Linked DNA regions of Cricetulus griseus. The protein of the gene in region 2 purifies or fractionates together with the protein of the main gene of each other region. This does not show direct contact. Links are inferred from orthologs where the notes say so. Each region holds a gene or a part of one and is shown on either strand. Other genes may lie near its edges.

Region 1 (4,632 bases), on a different chromosome or scaffold from region 2:
TCCTAACTAGTAATAGAGGTATGCTGTTGTCCCTAGTTCCATCCAGTCTTTCGCACATGTGACTACTTCCAAGCCCTTGGCTTGTGCCAGGGAAGGAGGGATTTGGCCTAGCAGGAAGATGTGGTGCCCTTGTGTTCTCTGTCTACTTTGGTCTTAGTTAATGGCTTGGATGGTTTTGACTCCGGTTGTGATTGCCATTCCTATGAGCCAGGAAGAGGGATAGGCACCTCACACATAAGCCTGCCCCTGACAGCCATGAGGTGAGGCTTTACCCAGGCCAAGAGCTGAGTTCCTGTGAGCAGCTGAGACAGGGCACAGATGTAGTCTCACTAGCCACTCAGTTATGCGGGCCCCTCAAGACCTCTTAGCCAGGGTTCCCAAAGACCCTCACTCAGGATGGAAGGACAAGGCGCCAGCCCAAAAAGACTAGGCAGGGCTCTGCTTATGTCAGGAACAGCTGCCCAGCTTGGCCTCTCTCCCTCCCCTTGAGGTGTGATAGATATCTTGAAATTATCTGTCTGTGCCTTCGTGCAGCTGTCCCAGAAGAATGCTTGCTGCTTCCTGGTTCCTGTGGGGATGGGGAGACACCTAATCCCAAAGTACCCATGTTGGCCATGTGTTCTAGGGCATAGTCTGGGCCTACAAGGCCTGTCTCACTAGTGTGGGGATCTGGGAAGGGGACCTGCCCTCACCCCATGAAATGGGGGTGTAACCTGCAGTTGGCCTGTGTCTCCATAGAGGGTGAAGAGCAATCAGGAGCGACAGAAGGTACCAGCTTCCCACCCCAAGAACCACGGCACAGTCACCAGATGAAAATGGCTGCCACAGGGCCCCTGGCTGAGCAGCACTGCTGGTCAGTGGAGGCTGCTGGCCAGACTGGTGCCGAGCCCACCTGTAGCCAAGGTAAGGCCAGTTGAGAGCAGCCCAGCACCAGCTCCCACCAGGCTGCTCTCAGATGACAGCCGAAGGTGGGCTTCCCCACAGAGGAGCCGGCTTGGTAGATTGAAGGATAGAACCTAGCAAGGGACTATTATTGTGACCCTAAAGCCTCCTTTCACCTCAGCTCCACAGAAGGGTCCTACCGGTAGGGTTTGGAGTTCTGTATGGGGAGGAGCTTGGGCCTGTCACTGAGGTTTCTCTGTGGGAATCCACCAGCCACTCTACTGGTCGGGCCCCTTGAGACCACTTGGCCAGGTCTCCCATATACCACTCAGGATGGAAGGACATGGCGCCAGCCCATGAACACCGGGCAGGGCTCTGGATAAGCTCCCACTCCTTTTAAAGAGATGAGGCTAAAAGAATGTGGAGCCTTGCCAGGGCAACTGGGTTATTCCCAGTTCACGCAGCTCCCTTGAGGCTGCCAGGTCCCAGATCTGCAGTCTGCCATGGCCTTGGCTGCCTCCAGGAGGCTCAGCTCCTTACTCATCCTGCAGTGAGAGGAAAAGTATATACTGGGCCCCCTGGAGTGGAATAGCTCAGAAGATACAACGGTTGTGTCATCTTGGTGATGAGGGACCCTTCCGAATCCCTGGGAAATCTCAGAGGGACTGCTGGAGTCCACTGATGCTCCTCAAAGCCCAGGGTGCTCCTCGTTGCAAGGCTAGCATGCTAAGGTCTGCAACCCGAGGTGAGCCCAGGACCCTTACGTCAATGTAGGCAGAAGGCCAGAAAAGGATCCATGGTGTGGGCCCACTGAGTTCTTAGCAAAGAGACAGGCAGACTGAGGCTGAGTGAACTCAAACTCTGTGGTCTCCTAACAGCCACCAGCACTAAGGTCCCCAGCATCGGAAGTACCCAGACACCCGAGAGCCATCAAGGCAAGGCTGAGTCCAGCAGGACCAAATCCCGCCTCCTGTCCAACATGCCAAAGCTGGTGATCCCCTCGGCCACCACCAAGTTCCCCCCTGAGATCACCGTCACACCACCTACCCCGACCCTGCTTTCCCCCAAAGGCAGCATCTCCGAGGAGACCAAGCAGAAGCTGAAGGTGACTGTGGGTACTAGGCAGGAGGCCTGGTGTAGGGGCTCATGGTACTGGCGGTCTGGGAAGGGACTTGAGTTACAGGGAGGCCTGGCTGAGAATTTGGTTCATGTCAAGAGGGTTAGGGTAAGGCCAGTCACTCCTGACCATGTTCTGCCCTACCCTGTGTGCAGTCAGCCATCCTGTCCGCCCAGTCAGCTGCCAATGTGAGGAAGGAGAGCCTGTGCCAGCCAGCCCTGGAGGTTCTGGAGACATCCAGCCAGGAGTCTTCACTGGAGAGTGAGACAGACGAGGATGACGACTACATGATGATGGACATGTGAGGGCCCCACCCAGAGCCCTAACAGTCAGGCCTGGGATCCCTGTGGGCCAGACCCTGGGACGGCCAGAAGCCCATGTGAAGGTACCATTTCCCATGGCTTCCTAAGCCTGCCCAGCCCCCTCTTTACAGCATCCTGCTCTGGTTGAGCTGTCCACACCCAGTGTGTTAGCCCAGAGGAAGATGAGACATGTCTTAGGCACATGAGGATGAACTGGTTGTGGTCTGCACAGAAGGGCCGGCACTTTTGTTTTGTTTTGTGAATATTGACTTTCTTTACAAGCCCGTGCCCCCCTGGCCAGGCCCACAGTTCATTGCCAAGACATCGAGAGCCTAGCTCACACCATATACCCTTTTTGTCATTGTTCTTTTCTAATAAAGCTGAGAAAATGGTCTTTGCTTCTCTGCTTACTCTGGGGGGGGGGGTGTGCTCACATGGTACAGGGATTAATTACACGGTGTGTGGGGGGGAGGCAAATTACTGTTCAAAAGCCCCTGGATGACTGGGGAGCTCCTGTAGTGTAAGGACACAAAGAAAGAAGACCCTGTGTGATGCCAAGGAGTTAACAGAAGGGCACAGTGGGGGTGAAAGCAGCTCAGGAGCAGGGGGTGTCCCTCCTCATAGTTCCTCCCTGACAGTATCAGCTACACCAGTGTGGAGCCCGGACAGAATGCATGGGGGCTGCAGAATTGCCTTAGTTGTCAAGAGCACCAACTGCTCTGCCAGGATCAGTGCCCAGCACACACATGGCAGTCCACATCCAGCCCTAACTCCAGTTCTAGGAAATGCAGTGCTCCCTTCTGGCTTCACCAGGCACTGCACCCGTGTGCACACAGACATACATGCAGCAAATCAAAAGCGCGAGGTCTGGGGAGAGAGACGAGACCCTGCTGCGTAACCAGACAGGCAGCCATGCCACAGCCTCCTGAGCAACTACACAGCACTTGGCTGAAACTTTTTTTTTTTTTTTTTTTTTTTTTTTTTGTGGCTTTGGAGATGTCCTGGAACTACCTCTTGTAGACCAGGCTGGTCTTGAACTCACAGAGATCCACCTACCTCTGCCTCCCGAGTGCTGGGATTAAAGGCGTGCGCCACCAACGCCCAGCTAAAAGTTAACTTTTAAGACCACAACACGACAGATCATGATACTGGCCCTTTCCCTTTCCTGTGCTCCATGCCATTTATTTTGGAGATACTTAGGTTCCAGGGGCTCATACCTGCCTGTTACAACTGTCACCGACACCACTTCAGAGTCCTCTTTGTCTCTCCTCAAAAAGCTCTAGGCCAGAATGGAGATGAAGGGTACTTTTGTGCCTTCATGGGCTGAGCACATACCCTCAACTGAGAAGGAAGAAACTGTAGACTAGACCCTAGATTCCCTAATCCAGGCCCTTTGCAGCTAGAAACATGGCAACCCAAGATAAGTCCTCAGACCAGCCACCTGAAGAGCCAAGAAACCAGGGACTGCAGTCACTCATCGGAGCACCTCCACCTACCCAGACCCCCACCAGCCATGGTAGGGAGAACCCTCAGACCCAGGCCTGGGTGCTGGCACAGGCTATTCCCTGCCATGGGACCTGTGTGCACACAAAGGTATCCACCCAGAGCACCCTGTGGCTTGGGAGATTTTCTTCCCCCTCTGCAAGGTGTGTGTGACGGCCTTGGAAGACTTGTCACCACACATGCCTTGTGGTGTAGTGGGAACACTCCTAAGCACAAGTTTCTTCAGATACTCAAGGGAGATCCACAGGTGACCTCCAGAGGTACTAGTTACTAAGAAAGGACAAGGCCCATAGAACAATGGGCTGGCTGACACCCAGGACCAGAGGAGGATCACAGACCAGATGACTTCAGCTCATAAGCCAGCCTGCCTAGCTCCTCCTGTGAGGCCAGCCACACTGTGTCTGCATTGAGAAACCTCAGCTTCCCTGTCCTAATGGCTAGCCCAGGTGACAGACCCAGGCTTGGGGGCCTGCATGGGCCACCCTGGCGTCAATGACTCCCAGAAGCCGCTAGAGGCTCTCCATCATGCTCCTTCCTCCTCTGCAGAAGCTTAGAGAAGCCAGAACAGGGTATGTTGCCAATAATGACAACACTGGGGCTAGGCTGGCCTCAGCTCTGGGTGGTAACTGAAGCCTGCTGCGAATCAGAAGTGGCCCAGTCTCAAGTCCATGCTGTGCACTGCACGACAGGCAGATTAACTCCTTGCTCCACCTCTGCCTGTCAGACACCTCCCTAAGGAAAACAGAGGTCTAGGTCTGTCCTGAGAGGACCAGGACTGCGACACCCGCCCTGCAGAAGCCTTGCACACAAGACTGGACTGTGTGACCC
Region 2 (6,307 bases):
CCTGTGCAAGGCAACGCTTCCAGAGAGAGATTCAACCAGGGCATGACTCTTACTGGTTCTGTTCACTTCAGCATTCCTAGCCCTCCAAAACTATACTCACCAGAGCTGGGATGCTGGACATACATGCCAAATTTGGGAAACTTCCTGAAGTTACTAAGGACAACCAGTCATGTTCCCAGAAAGAGTCTATGGTCCATCTTCACATAAATAAATACTACTACTTCCGAGTTACAGATGGGACTTTAGAGAACCCACCATCTACATGAAGTAGTTCACCTGACAGTCCTTCAATCCCTTAGAAATATTTGTTTAGCCTGGCAGTAGTGTCGCACGCCTTTAATCCCAGCACTTGGGAGGCAGAGGCAGGCAGATCTCTTCGAGTTCAAGGCCAGCCTGGTCTACAGAGTGAGTTCCAGTACACAAAAATACACAGAGAAACCCTGTCTCGAAAAAAAGAAATATTTACTTAAAGTCGGGAATAAAGCATGGGAAAACCTAGCAAGCATACAAAGAGAGTACTATCTGTAGAGTACTATCTGTGACTCGGTAACATTTCTTGGAGTACTATCTGTAGAGTACTATCTGTGACTCGGTAACATTTCTTGAAGACTGATTGATTCAAGTGATATGTAACAGCCTTCTTGGATAAATCCAGCCGCAAATATTTTAGTTCCCTGAAAACAAAAAACAAGCAAAAGAAAAAAAAAAGTGCTTCTTGGCTCAAATTATAGGGATTTCTTTCTTTACTGGCAGCTCAGTGTAGGCTTTTTCTGCATGTGTTTTTAGGATAGTATCGCAGATTGCACGTGTTTTTATCACATCAACACTTAACACTCTTTAAATAATAACGAAACGGGAGGCCTGGATTCTGTCTGTTTCTCCGGGGCTTGTTCCTCACTTAAGTGACCTTGGGCAAGTATCATTCCTTCTCTCCTATCTGGTTTCTACATATCTGTTCCAGCATCTCCTTCACAACCCTATGGGATCTCTCTTGTACCGAAAGCCCTCACCCAGGGCTGTGAAGCCTGGTCCCTACCGTCTGGGGGTCAGCTAATGACAACCTGAGCTGCGCCGTGCTGCTCAAGCTACCGAGCGGTGCTGGAAAGCGGGAAACACGGCAAGCCCTGCGGCAGCTCTTCCTTAGTACCTGCCGTTTTCAGCCTCTTACAGCGACAGCCTTAAGCTGCTATGTCACAGTCTCCTTCCACAGCGATCTTCCGAGGAGGGTGAGGCCGCTCGCTGAGCGGCCCACTCGGGCTGGACCGGCAGCCGGGCCGTGCGCAGCGACAGCTGTGCTGCACATTGTTCCCGAGGCTCACAACACACAGCCATCTTGCATCAAGAACGGCGGCCCAGGCAGGAGCGGGTGAGCGCGGTGTCGCCGCCGCCGCCGTCGGGGAAGCAGCGCTGGCAGTGGCCGCCCCGCCTCTCCCGGGTAGAGTCCGCGACGGGCTTGTCCTCAGGCGATTTGGCCCGGCCCTCGGACGCGCCCGCGCCCCGCGCCCGCGCTAGGCGGGAAGCGAACCGCGGGGCCCCGCCCCTGCCGCGCGCAACGGGCGCGGCCCGAGAGTGGGCGCGGGCCTCGGGCTTCCACTCGCCGGCTTCCGGCTCGGGCGCCTCGTCCACCGGGCGCGGCGACCGCGGGGCCGCGGCCTTCTCCCCGCCCCACGCGGGCGGGCGCCTCGGGGACGCGCGCGGGGGCGGCGCCCCTCCCCCCGCAGGCCGGGCGCTGGCCCGCGGCCCGCCCTCCCATCCCCCACGGGCCCCCTCGGTACCCCCCCTTATCCCTCACCCCCCCACCCCCGGGAGCCGGGGCTCCGGGGGCTCCCCGTGGCGCTGGCCCCGGGCGGGGAGGGAAGCGAGCGCGGGCCGGGCCGGGGGCGGGCGGCGTCTCGGCGGGCCCCGCGGCCCCTCGGCGTGTCTTTTGTGTTTGTACACACCGCGAGAGGCGGCGGGAGCCGGGGGCGGGCGGCGCGCGGGGTGGGGGGGCGGGGGTGGAGGAGGAGCGAGCGCGCGCGCCAGCGAACGGGCGCGCGGGGGGAGGGGCGGGGGGCGGGCGCGCGGGCCCCGGGGCGGGGCCGAGCCTTCCCTCCATTGTGTGTGATTGGCTGGCGCGGCGCGGGGCGGGGCGGCGTGTGTGGGGGTAGCCTCGGTGTCAGCCATCTTTCAATTGTGTTCGCAGCCGTCGCCGCCGCCGCCGCCGCTCTCTAACGCCAGCGCCGCCTCTCGCTTGCCGAGCTCCAGCCGAAGGAGAAGGGGGGTAAGTTTCTCCGTCCGCCCGCTCTCCCGGAGCCGGGCCCCGTCCGCCGGCGCTGCCGTAGCGGGCCGCGGAGGGCCCCCGCAGCCCCTCGGGCTCGACCCTCAAACTTTTTGGCGCAGACACGGAGACGGGGAGCGAGTTTCCCTCTCCTCGGGCGGCGGCGGCGGCGGCGGCGGCGGCAGCTCTCCGTCTCCGCCTCAGCCCGGCGGCGGCCCCGCCGCGCCGCCTGCCGAGCCTGCTGGCCCTCCCGCGCCGCGGGCTCTCCTTTCTTCGGTGAAATCCCGCCCGCCGCCCCTTCCCGGGACCCCAGACCTTCACCAGGTCCCGCGCGAGCCCCTCAACTGCCGCCTGCGGGTCCCGGGCCGCAGTTTGTCGGGCGCGAAATGGGTAAAATCGCCGTCGCTTCCCGCCCCGGGCGAACTCGCTTTTTGCTGCCTCCCCACAGTTGTGGCTGAGCTTCACCATCTTGTCTCTCTTCTCTGGTCACCGACCATGTTTCTTTTCCCCCCCGTTTCTCTCTTCCCCATTTTAAAATGGAAGGAGGAAAAAAATCTTAAGCACCTTTTTTTTTATTTTTTTGCCTTTTTTGGAGGAAAAAAAAGGAAACTTGATGCATATGAAATTCGAAATAACGAAAAAAAGAACTTTTGCATTTGGGGGAGAGCGGCACGTGGCAGGGGATGGGGTATTTTTCGAAGGGTTTGCTGTTTGTGTCTTTGGAAGGGAGTCGGATACATTTTGCAATTGTTTCCATTTTGTGCTAGCCTTGGGGAGCCGAGTCGTTCGCTGCCGGCACGGGGCGCCCGGGCCGGGCCGGGCAGGGCAGGTCGGGGACCCGGGACCCGGGGACCCGGGGGAGGCAGAAGCAAAAGTTTATGTGGTGCTGGGGTGGGCCGGGCGGCCGGTGTCGAGCGCTAATTAAGACTGGGTGCGGGGCAGTCGGCTGGCATAGCGAAGCCCGGGAGGACGGGCTTTGTGGAATGCTCGCTGGCAATAGCTGTTGTTCTTGTCTTTCGAGACGCCTTTTTGTCAACATAACCGTAAAGATAGAAACCTCAAGAATGTTTACAGATATTTACAGCAATCCAACTGCCGAGCGCGAGGCGGGGGGCGCGAACGGGGGGGGGACGCTGGAACCTTTTTTCTTTTTTTCTTTCTTTTTTTTTTTTTTGGCTGTAATTTGACTCGACCTTTCTGTGGTTTGTGGCTTCTTTCGTTTGACTTGTTTGTGATCGAATGCTTGCAGGCATTTCTAATTTCTACTTTAATTAAAGAAATTGAATTAAAACCCATTGGGGTGGTCTCGCTGGTTTTGGCCGTTTGTCGCTTGGAATTGGCGTTATGAGTATTAATGCTGACAATTTTCCGGTTTGTTTTAAGTCGTATTTGGGTAGTAGACCTAACCTGCGCCCTTTCAAATTAATTATATAACAGCCTTTTTTTTTTCTCAGTAATGATAGGTTTCTGGGATTTTTTTTTTTTTTAGGGGGTGGCTTCTGGCAAGAAAATGTATGTTTTAGTTGAATATGATTTTTTTTTTTTTAATACTGGTAGGTAAGTAAGGAGGTGCTCTTACCATGGCTCGTACAAAGCAGACTGCCCGCAAATCCACCGGTGGTAAAGCACCCAGGAAACAACTGGCTACAAAAGCCGCTCGCAAGAGTGCGCCCTCTACTGGAGGGGTGAAAAAACCTCATCGTTACAGGTATTTATAAAAGGGGGAGGAATAGGACAGTGTCTAAACAGTATGTCCATGTAATTTAACAGGAAGGTGAGGGAAAGATGTTTTCCTTCTGAATGTTTACTGCTGCTTGAAAATACACGTGCATATGTTCATTTATGAATACATGTAACTTAGTGTCAGGCTTTATTGATAACATTTTGAAGTTGTAATCTGATCTAAATTCTAAAGGGACGCGGTTCTCAACTGGTAGTAGGACACATTAACATTTTAACCATTAGCATTTTAAGTATGAAATGGTTTCATATGTGTATACAGGCACATAAAAATGGTTGTGTTTTTACACATACTTTTTGTTTTGGTTGACCCACACTTGTGGTAAAGTGTAGTACCTTAGGGAGACTAGTAAAGAAAGTCTCTTGGTCATAATTACTTGGGTTTTTCCCTCCTTTACTCCCTCATTTTATTTTTATGTAAGCACTGTTGTTAAGGACATCTGCCATTAGAGGGCATAAGTTGCCCAAATTTGCATAGACAGATTGTACAGTGAACAGCTCATAGAGTTGAAATAAGTCAAATTTAGGGGTTAAAGGATTTGTTTTCTCTCTTATCTTTCCCACTCTCTTCCCCCAATAAAGCTTCCCAAGTTAAAAAAAAAAAGTATTATAGACAATGACTTAATTTTAGAAAATTTTTCATGTGGGAGAAACAATGTGAAATCAAGTTTTCAAATTCAGTCATTCATGACTGGTGATACAATACTGGGAGATCAAATACGAGTGTTTTAAGTGAATCGTTGTAAATTATGTTGGTAACTCTTTTAGGACTTTAAAACCTAAGGCACAGATGGGGCAACAGAAAGTGTTGCTTAAACTGGGAAGATGTCTTTATTGCCAGCCTAACTTCGAATATGCTCCCAAGTCTTGTTTGTTTGTTTGTTTTTAAGGCGGGGCTCACTCTAACCTATCCTTGCCTGGAATTCATTATGTAGATCAGGCTGGTATCAAGCCTCCTGCCTCTGCCTCCTGAGTCCTGGTGCAAGTATTCAATACCACACTCAGGTGTGGTTCTCAGGTCAAGATTCGGGGGTGGGTGAACAGATAAAATGAATATGGTGCTTTCATAAACTGCCACTTTGTGTTTGTTTTGTTTTGTTTTTTGTGATCTCGAAGGGCGGTGGTGGCGCACGCCTTTAATCCCAGCACTTGGGAGGCAGAGGCAGGTGGATCTCTGAGTTCGAGACCAGCCTGGTCGACAAGAGCTAGTTCCAGGACAGTCTCCAAAGCTACACAGGGAAACCCTGTCTTGAAAAACCAAAAAAAAAAAGTGATCTCAACAGATTTGAATATTCAGGTCATAAAACTGATCTGTGAAATGGGGCGCTCAAGAATGGTTTAGAGTTCATGTATTTCTTTAAAACTGACTACTGTTGTGTTGTGTGTGTTTAGTAACAACTTTTTAATGTTAACTTTTGAAGGCCTGGTACTGTGGCACTCCGTGAAATCAGACGCTATCAGAAATCCACTGAACTTCTGATTCGCAAGCTCCCCTTCCAGCGTCTGGTTCGAGAAATTGCTCAGGACTTCAAAACAGATCTGCGCTTCCAGAGTGCAGCTATTGGTGCTTTGCAGGTAAATAGATGGGTGGGAAGACCCTGTTTTTGTTGATGATTTGCACGTCTTTCTTGTTTTAAGTCTGTGAGGTAGTGATTCGCTCTTGATGAAATTTAAAGGTAAGCCGAGTAGTGGTGGTCTTTAATTACAGCCCTTGGGAGGCAGAGCCAGAGTTCCAGGACAGCCAGGATTACACATAGAAAGCCCGTTTTGAGAAACCTAAAAATGATTCAAGGTTATGCACATAAAAATTAAAATCCTAATTTGATTCTAAAGCCTAATACAGTTGTTATGCTTTGTTTGTTTACTTGTTTATTTAGGTTTTTTGGAGCAGGATTTCTCTGTGTAACAGTCCCAGCTGTCCTGGAACTCACTTTGTAGAGTAGGCTGGCCTCGAACTTACTGAGATCTGCTTGCTTCTTCCTCCCAAGTGCTAGGATTAAAGGCATGCACCACCACTGCCTGACATAATTATTTTTCTAACATTGCATTAAAAACAGGCTGGGCATTGGTGGCGCACGCCTTTAATCCCAACACTCAGGAGGCAGAGGCAGGCGGATCTCTGTGAGTTGGAGGCCAGCCTGGTCTCCAGAGTGAGTGCCAGGATAGGCTCCAAAGCTACACAGAGAAACCCTGTCTTGAAACCACCACCACCACCACCACCCCCAAAAACAAAACAAAAAAAAACAGTGCTTAACTCTGGGTTGTTTTGTGGGTGCTACAGGTCATTAGGATATAGAACTAGAATTCTAT
Region 3 (5,850 bases), on a different chromosome or scaffold from region 2:
GTTCACTATTGCATCAGGCTAGCTGGCCCTTGAGTTTATAGGGTGTCTCATCGTATGGGTGCACCAGATTATAGATTCAATGACACCACACCCACTTTTATATGGGGCCTGGGGATTTAAACTCAGGTCTCAGGGCTGAGGCTCTAGCTCAGTGATAAGAGTACTTGTCTAGCATTCTCAAGGACCTATATTCAATCCCTACTACTGCTAGGAAAAAGGGAAACCACTGACTTAATGCTGCCTTAGGCTGGTGCTTTAGCTCAGTTGGTGGATTGCTTGACTAGTGTGTACGAAGCCCTGGATTTGATCCCCAGCACCACACAAACTGGGCATGGTGATGAATACTTGTAACCCTAGCACTGGGAGGTAGAGTCAGTAGAATCAGAAGTTCAAGGTTATCCTCAGCTGTATAATAGACCAGTGTGGGCCTATTATGAGACCCTGTCTCAAAAATAGAACAAGGATTTTCTGTTTCCTGTGAGCCCTTCCTTGGTTTGCAGCCATGCTGAAGATATCTATAAAAACTTATGTTTTTTGATCTTTCTGAGGTGTCTGTAACCTGTCAAAGTGAGACAAGGGCATATAGTGGATAAGCTGCAATCAGCCTAATGAACACTCTCACTCTCTCTCTCTCTCTCTCTCTCTCTCTCTCTCTCTCTATATATATATATATATATATATATATATCTTTCTCTCTCTCTCTCAATCTCTCAGTCTCTCGCCTTTGCCTCCTTCGTATTAGGATTGAAGGTGTGTGCCGCCATGCCCAGCTGAAAAGGACTTCTTTTAGTTCATTTATGTTTTAACTTTCTGTGGTGTCAGGGTTCATGAATACATACTAGCTAGTCTCATTGAAAGTTTTAGTATGATCTGGTGCAGTTAGATTTCACCAGCCACATTTCTCCATAGTGCTACAGTGACGCTTTCAGTTAACTTAAGAAGCCAATGATTGGTTGGAAGTGTTCACTTTCACATGAACATAAATATATAGGGAACCATTTTCAGTTGGATCTTTTTAAATGAGAAACTTGCCATTTGTCCATGTTTATGAAGGCTTTGGATGGGATTCAGGGCTCCTCTAGATTTTAAATTTGTCATGAAGATAACTTCTGGGGAGGGTGTTTTGCTTGTTTTTTTTTTTTTTTTTTTTTTTTGTGTGTGTGTGTGTGTGTGTGTGTGTGTGTGTGAGTGTTTTGTCTGCATGTCTACCATGTGCATGCTGGGTGCCCACAGAGGTCAGAAGAGGGTGTTGGATCTCTTGGAGCTGTAGTTAAGACCATTGTGAGCCATCATAATAGGCAATGGGAATCAAACCGGGGCCCTAGGGAAGAATAGCTAATTTTTAACAACTCCAACAGCTGGGCAATGGTAGTGCATGCATGCCTTTAATCCCAGCACTTGGGAGGCAGAGGCAGGTAGATAGATCTCTGAGTTCTAGGACAGCCTGGTCTACAGAGCAAGTTCCAAGACAGCCAGGGCTACACAAAGAAACCAGAAAACAGACAAATAAACCAACAAATAAAACCACAAAGGTCTTCACTGAGCTATCCCTGCCCATTTTTGTGTTACATAAATTTATATAATAAATTTAAATTAGTGTATATAAATCTGTTTATATATCTATTAGTTTGTATGTGCATTATGGATATACACATGCTATATATATACACATATATAGTAACCATACATATTTTTTGTTTTTGATTTTTTTTTTTTTTGAAACAGGGTTTCTCTGTGTATCCTTGACTGTCCTGGGACTTACTCTGTAGACCAGGCTAGCCTCAACTCATGGATATCCCCCTGCCTCTGCCTCTCCTGAGTGCTGGGAATAAAGGCGTATGCTACCACTGCAGGGCTCATACATAATATATTACTTCTCTGCTTCATAAAAGAAACATATTTGCTATTTTAGGAATTATCTCTGTGCCCTAGAAGCCCCTAGATGCTGGCTCATAGAGACTTCCCCATTATTCTTTTGAGTGCTGAGTAGTGAGGTTCTTATTGTGTGTGTGTGTTTTCTCTCCAGAAAGGAACCGGAGGGGCAATGCTGCTGTCCAACACTTCTTCCTTAAGCCTGCTGTCTTCATCCTACAAGCCCAGCAACCCCAAGCTTCAGGGGGCTATGAACTCAAACTCACTGGGAATCATAACCTCTGTCCCATTTCCACTTCACGTGCTCTCCTTCAGTTCAGACTCCTCTGCCAAAGCAGGGGTCTCTAAGGATGCCATTGTTACAGGCCCAGCCCCTGGGACCTTCCATCATGGCCTCAGCCACAGTAAGTTCTTGTTTCCTGCCTCTGTTTCTATGTTGTGTGCCATGTTGGATCCTCTATGTGTTTGGTGTAACTGTGGGAGCACCCCTGTCCTGGGAAGCTGCTTAGTGCCCAGTGTTGTTGGTTTGTTCCAGATTGGCCTACAGGTTGCCTGGGGCTCTGAATCTCCCAAGCTGCTTTTCTGTTCTGTCTTCAATGTGTGTGTTTTGTTCTCTCCCCTCCTGTTTTCTCTCAGGTCTTCTGGCTGGCTTGCACTCCAGCCCACCCCACACAGCGCCTCTCCCACATACTGCTGTGTCCACCCATGTCCCACAGAGTCTGCCAGGTAAATGCCAGGTGGGCAGTGTGCCATGAGCCCTGTGGGCCATACCCCTTCACCCTTAGGTGCTTTGCTGCCAGCGCTTTTAGTCATCTCTGCTTCACCCTCACTGTTTTGTATTTTGCTTTGTCTTTTGAGGCTCTGGCTCTTTGGCTTTGGGTTCCAGAATAATATAACCCTGTACTACCAGAGGCTTTTCCTGGTTTCCTTTTTGAATGGCCATAAGGTCTGACTTAGCCTGTATAATAACAGTATATGTTGAGCCTGAACATGAAACAGAGGAGCTCCAACTCTTAATGTGCATTTAAAGAGAAGAAAGGTAATGGTGGCTCTTGTCCAAAGGTTAACCAAGTACTTCAGGGCCTTCATGGTGAAATACTACACACCTGCCAGGCATTGTCAAGTGGCAGATACTCTTTGAAAGGAATAAATATCCACAGAACAGGAAGAGAACATAATACATGACTATGAGAGAGTTAGTATGGACCCAAAAGAGAAGCAGTTTTCAATCTACCCTGGTGTAAACCTTCCTTTAAAACAGATTTGGAAGCACACCAGGAATGAAGCAATCCACCTTGGTGTAAAACCTTCCTTTAAAACAGATTTGGAAGTACACCAGGAATGAAGCCAGTGTCTCCTGACAGAATGGTGCTTCTGGAAGTAGGCAGCTCTAAAAGCCCTAGGTACATGTATTGCCAGCTTGAGAGCATGAGAATGGGGAATATTTGCCACAGGCAGCCATCTTGTAGTAAGTGGACTGGTCTCACTCTGTCCTGATTCCTGGATTCTTGCATATAGGCACCTCTTGGGATTTTGGCTTAGGGGCCTGATGAGAAACTGATTTTGACCTAGTGTTCTTAGCACTTTAGACCTGTTCTAAACAGAACCCAGGCCTATACTAGGGAGAGGAGGGCTGAGCTTAGGGATTATGGGGATTTGTATAGGGCAGGAGTCAGATGCAGACTCGAGGGCTATGTGTGCCTTTGACTGCTCATGGACAGTCTGGGCTCACAGCTCCTTGTGTGCTTTGTGATCTGCTTGTGTGTTCCTTGAAGCCATGTCTTAAAAGCTGAGAACTCTGTAGTGAATATCAAAGACCTTGTTAGGATGAGGGTGAGTTTGTAGGTTTCTTTGAGGAGCAAAGCCAGTGTCAGTTGTCACTCCTTTCCTCTGAAGAAGCAGTCACATCTGAGGACTTTCTCTGCACTGGTGGCTGCCACTTAAATTAAGTGCAATGTGGGTGACTCCTCAGCTACTGAGAGCCTGTGTGGTGTGAAAGTGAGATGGTGCCACCTTCCACTTGCTTTGGAAATGGCTCTCTTTGAGAGAAACAAAGTAATTGAAGAGTAGAAACAGACTCTGGGTCTGTGGAGTTTTCAGTCAACAGAGGCAGGAGGGAGACTGGATAGAGGGGGGGCAGGGGAATCAAACACTTTTTGTACTATTTTCCTGTTTTTCCCCGTGGTCTTCCAAAGCTATCTGAAGGGTTGGGGGTGTAGTTCAGTGGTCAAGCATTTTCCTATCATATATAAAGCCCCAGGTCTATTACCAGTACCACAGAGAGGAAAAGGAAAAACATCGTAGGCAATCAGAAGAGCAGCCATGCAAAATGGGTTAGCAGGGAGCTGAGACTTGTTTCTGCTCTTCCTTCTTTTCTCCCACATGGACTTGATGCTGTTGCTTTTGCCTTTGTCCCTCTGGTATCTGAGTGCATTTTGATGTTAAGAGAATGAACATTGTCTGGATTCTGTGTGGTCATCAGGCCTTGCAGTGGCCCTTGTCATGTTGCAGAATTTCTGTTCTGTAGACATTGCTCCTCAGCCCCCTGCCTGCACAGTGCTAGTTTGGGGACATTTGCTACTTAACATTCCTGTGAAGTTTGTTTATGCTGTCTAGAGGAGTTTGAGTGCTTAAAGAATGTTCTGTTTTTGCTTATTCTTTTCCAGATACTTCACAGCTTCATGGGAAAGGGCCTGTTGTACCAAGGAAATTGTGACCACTTTGGAGGATGGAATCAAATGAAGTAGGTCTGGGAGGAAGTCTACCATGTAGGTCTCTGATAACAGACATTTGCTGTGCTCTTCCTGTCCACTGCTTTTCTTCTGGAGCAGCAATGAGTTTGAAATGGAGCACTTCTTAGCACTTCTGATGGGCCTTCAACCAAGTGGCAGCTTCTGCTGCTTACGAAGCACTTACTGACCTGGTGCTCTGGGCCTTATGGCTTTGTCGCTGGACGACATCAAGGGGCAGCTCTGGGCTGGGAAGTGTGCCTAGACTGTGTTGGGAAGCACAGTGTGCATGAACTCCTGTGGCAGATCTGTTGCCTACTGGGTTCTAGGTCTGCCCAACTCCTGGCATTTGGTGTGAGTATCTCAGAGCTCCCTACTGGTCAGAACTCCTCCTGGCCACAGTAGAGTCCCTGGATGGTTGTGATTGCATCCCATCCTCAGACTGTGTGCTCAAGAGGACAAGACCCAGGTCAGAGCCACAGGTGGGAGACCTTGAAAAATACTAAGAACACCTAATATGTGCTCTTATAGGGGCCAGTTTCTCCTCAGAACATGACAATGAAGCTCTTATAGAGAAAAAGATCTTTATAGATTCATCAATCGTGGTAGGATTTTTAAAGACACCTATCTTGGGCTGTTTTCGTCATTTCCATTGAATGCATTGGATAGAATGGGACTGCTCTTCACACATCACATTATAGGAAGACTTAATTCCAGTGCCTTTTTGGTGGAGCAGACTTTGACAACTCGAATCTATCCATTCAGCCCCCTGAGTGGATCTGAGATGAAGACCTTTTTTTAAAGCTAGTCTGTATTTAAGACAGTTTTATTTAATTGGGTTTTTATGACTGCACATCATAATCTGTGCCGTCCTGACTTAAAAGTCATCTGAGCCCCCAAATCCCAGGTTCCCATGGAGCTACAGATCTGTTTTTTTTTTTTTTTTTTCTTTTTCTTTTTTTTTTTTTTTTTTAGAGTTGATGCAGGTGGGCTGCAGGGGAGCTCCTCAGTCCTCTGTCTGAGAGTCCAGGAGTTCCAAGCCACAGGTAGACATTCCACTCTGTCTTATTAGAAATCTCTCTGGCAGAGCCAAAAGACAGGCCTCTCTGAAGCATCTGCTACAGAGAACAGGTCTGGGGTACTGGTGCTGTCTGGACAGCCAGCGTCTGTGTGGACTTAGGGGGATATGCAGAGGGTCTGGAGAGTGGACAGAGGACTACAGAGCTTCCATCACTAGGCTACCACATTG

What was found. The genes of interacting proteins can lie anywhere in the genome.
Region 1: the proteins of histone H3.3A (region 2) and Cabin1 purify together in Homo sapiens (affinity purification with western blotting, with the first as the bait; 3 studies listed by BioGRID). This does not show direct contact. The link is inferred for Cricetulus griseus from reciprocal best matches to the Homo sapiens genes H3-3A and CABIN1.
Region 3: the proteins of histone H3.3A (region 2) and Ubn1 purify together in Homo sapiens (affinity purification with western blotting, with the first as the bait; 3 studies listed by BioGRID). This does not show direct contact. The link is inferred for Cricetulus griseus from reciprocal best matches to the Homo sapiens genes H3-3A and UBN1.

Annotation. Positions count from the first base shown.
Region 1 is NW_023276806.1:262,944,064-262,948,695, forward strand, and holds the end of Cabin1 (calcineurin-binding protein cabin-1), read left to right. Parts: intron 1-738; coding exon 739-903; intron 904-1,760; coding exon 1,761-1,987; intron 1,988-2,154; coding exon 2,155-2,304; 3' UTR 2,305-2,695; downstream 2,696-4,632. UniProt on the Homo sapiens protein: May be required for replication-independent chromatin assembly. May serve as a negative regulator of T-cell receptor (TCR) signaling via inhibition of calcineurin. Inhibition of activated calcineurin is dependent on both PKC and calcium signals.
Region 2 is NC_048598.1:13,473,787-13,480,093, forward strand, and holds the start of histone H3.3A, read left to right. Parts: upstream 1-2,115; 5' UTR 2,116-2,260; intron 2,261-3,814; 5' UTR 3,815-3,837; coding exon 3,838-3,965; intron 3,966-5,418; coding exon 5,419-5,572; intron 5,573-6,307. UniProt on the Homo sapiens protein: Variant histone H3 which replaces conventional H3 in a wide range of nucleosomes in active genes. Constitutes the predominant form of histone H3 in non-dividing cells and is incorporated into chromatin independently of DNA synthesis.
Region 3 is NC_048600.1:41,615,422-41,621,271, reverse strand, and holds part of Ubn1 (ubinuclein-1), read left to right. Parts: intron 1-2,026; coding exon 2,027-2,276; intron 2,277-2,508; coding exon 2,509-2,598; intron 2,599-4,538; coding exon 4,539-4,588; 3' UTR 4,589-5,850. UniProt on the Homo sapiens protein: Acts as a novel regulator of senescence. Involved in the formation of senescence-associated heterochromatin foci (SAHF), which represses expression of proliferation-promoting genes. Binds to proliferation-promoting genes.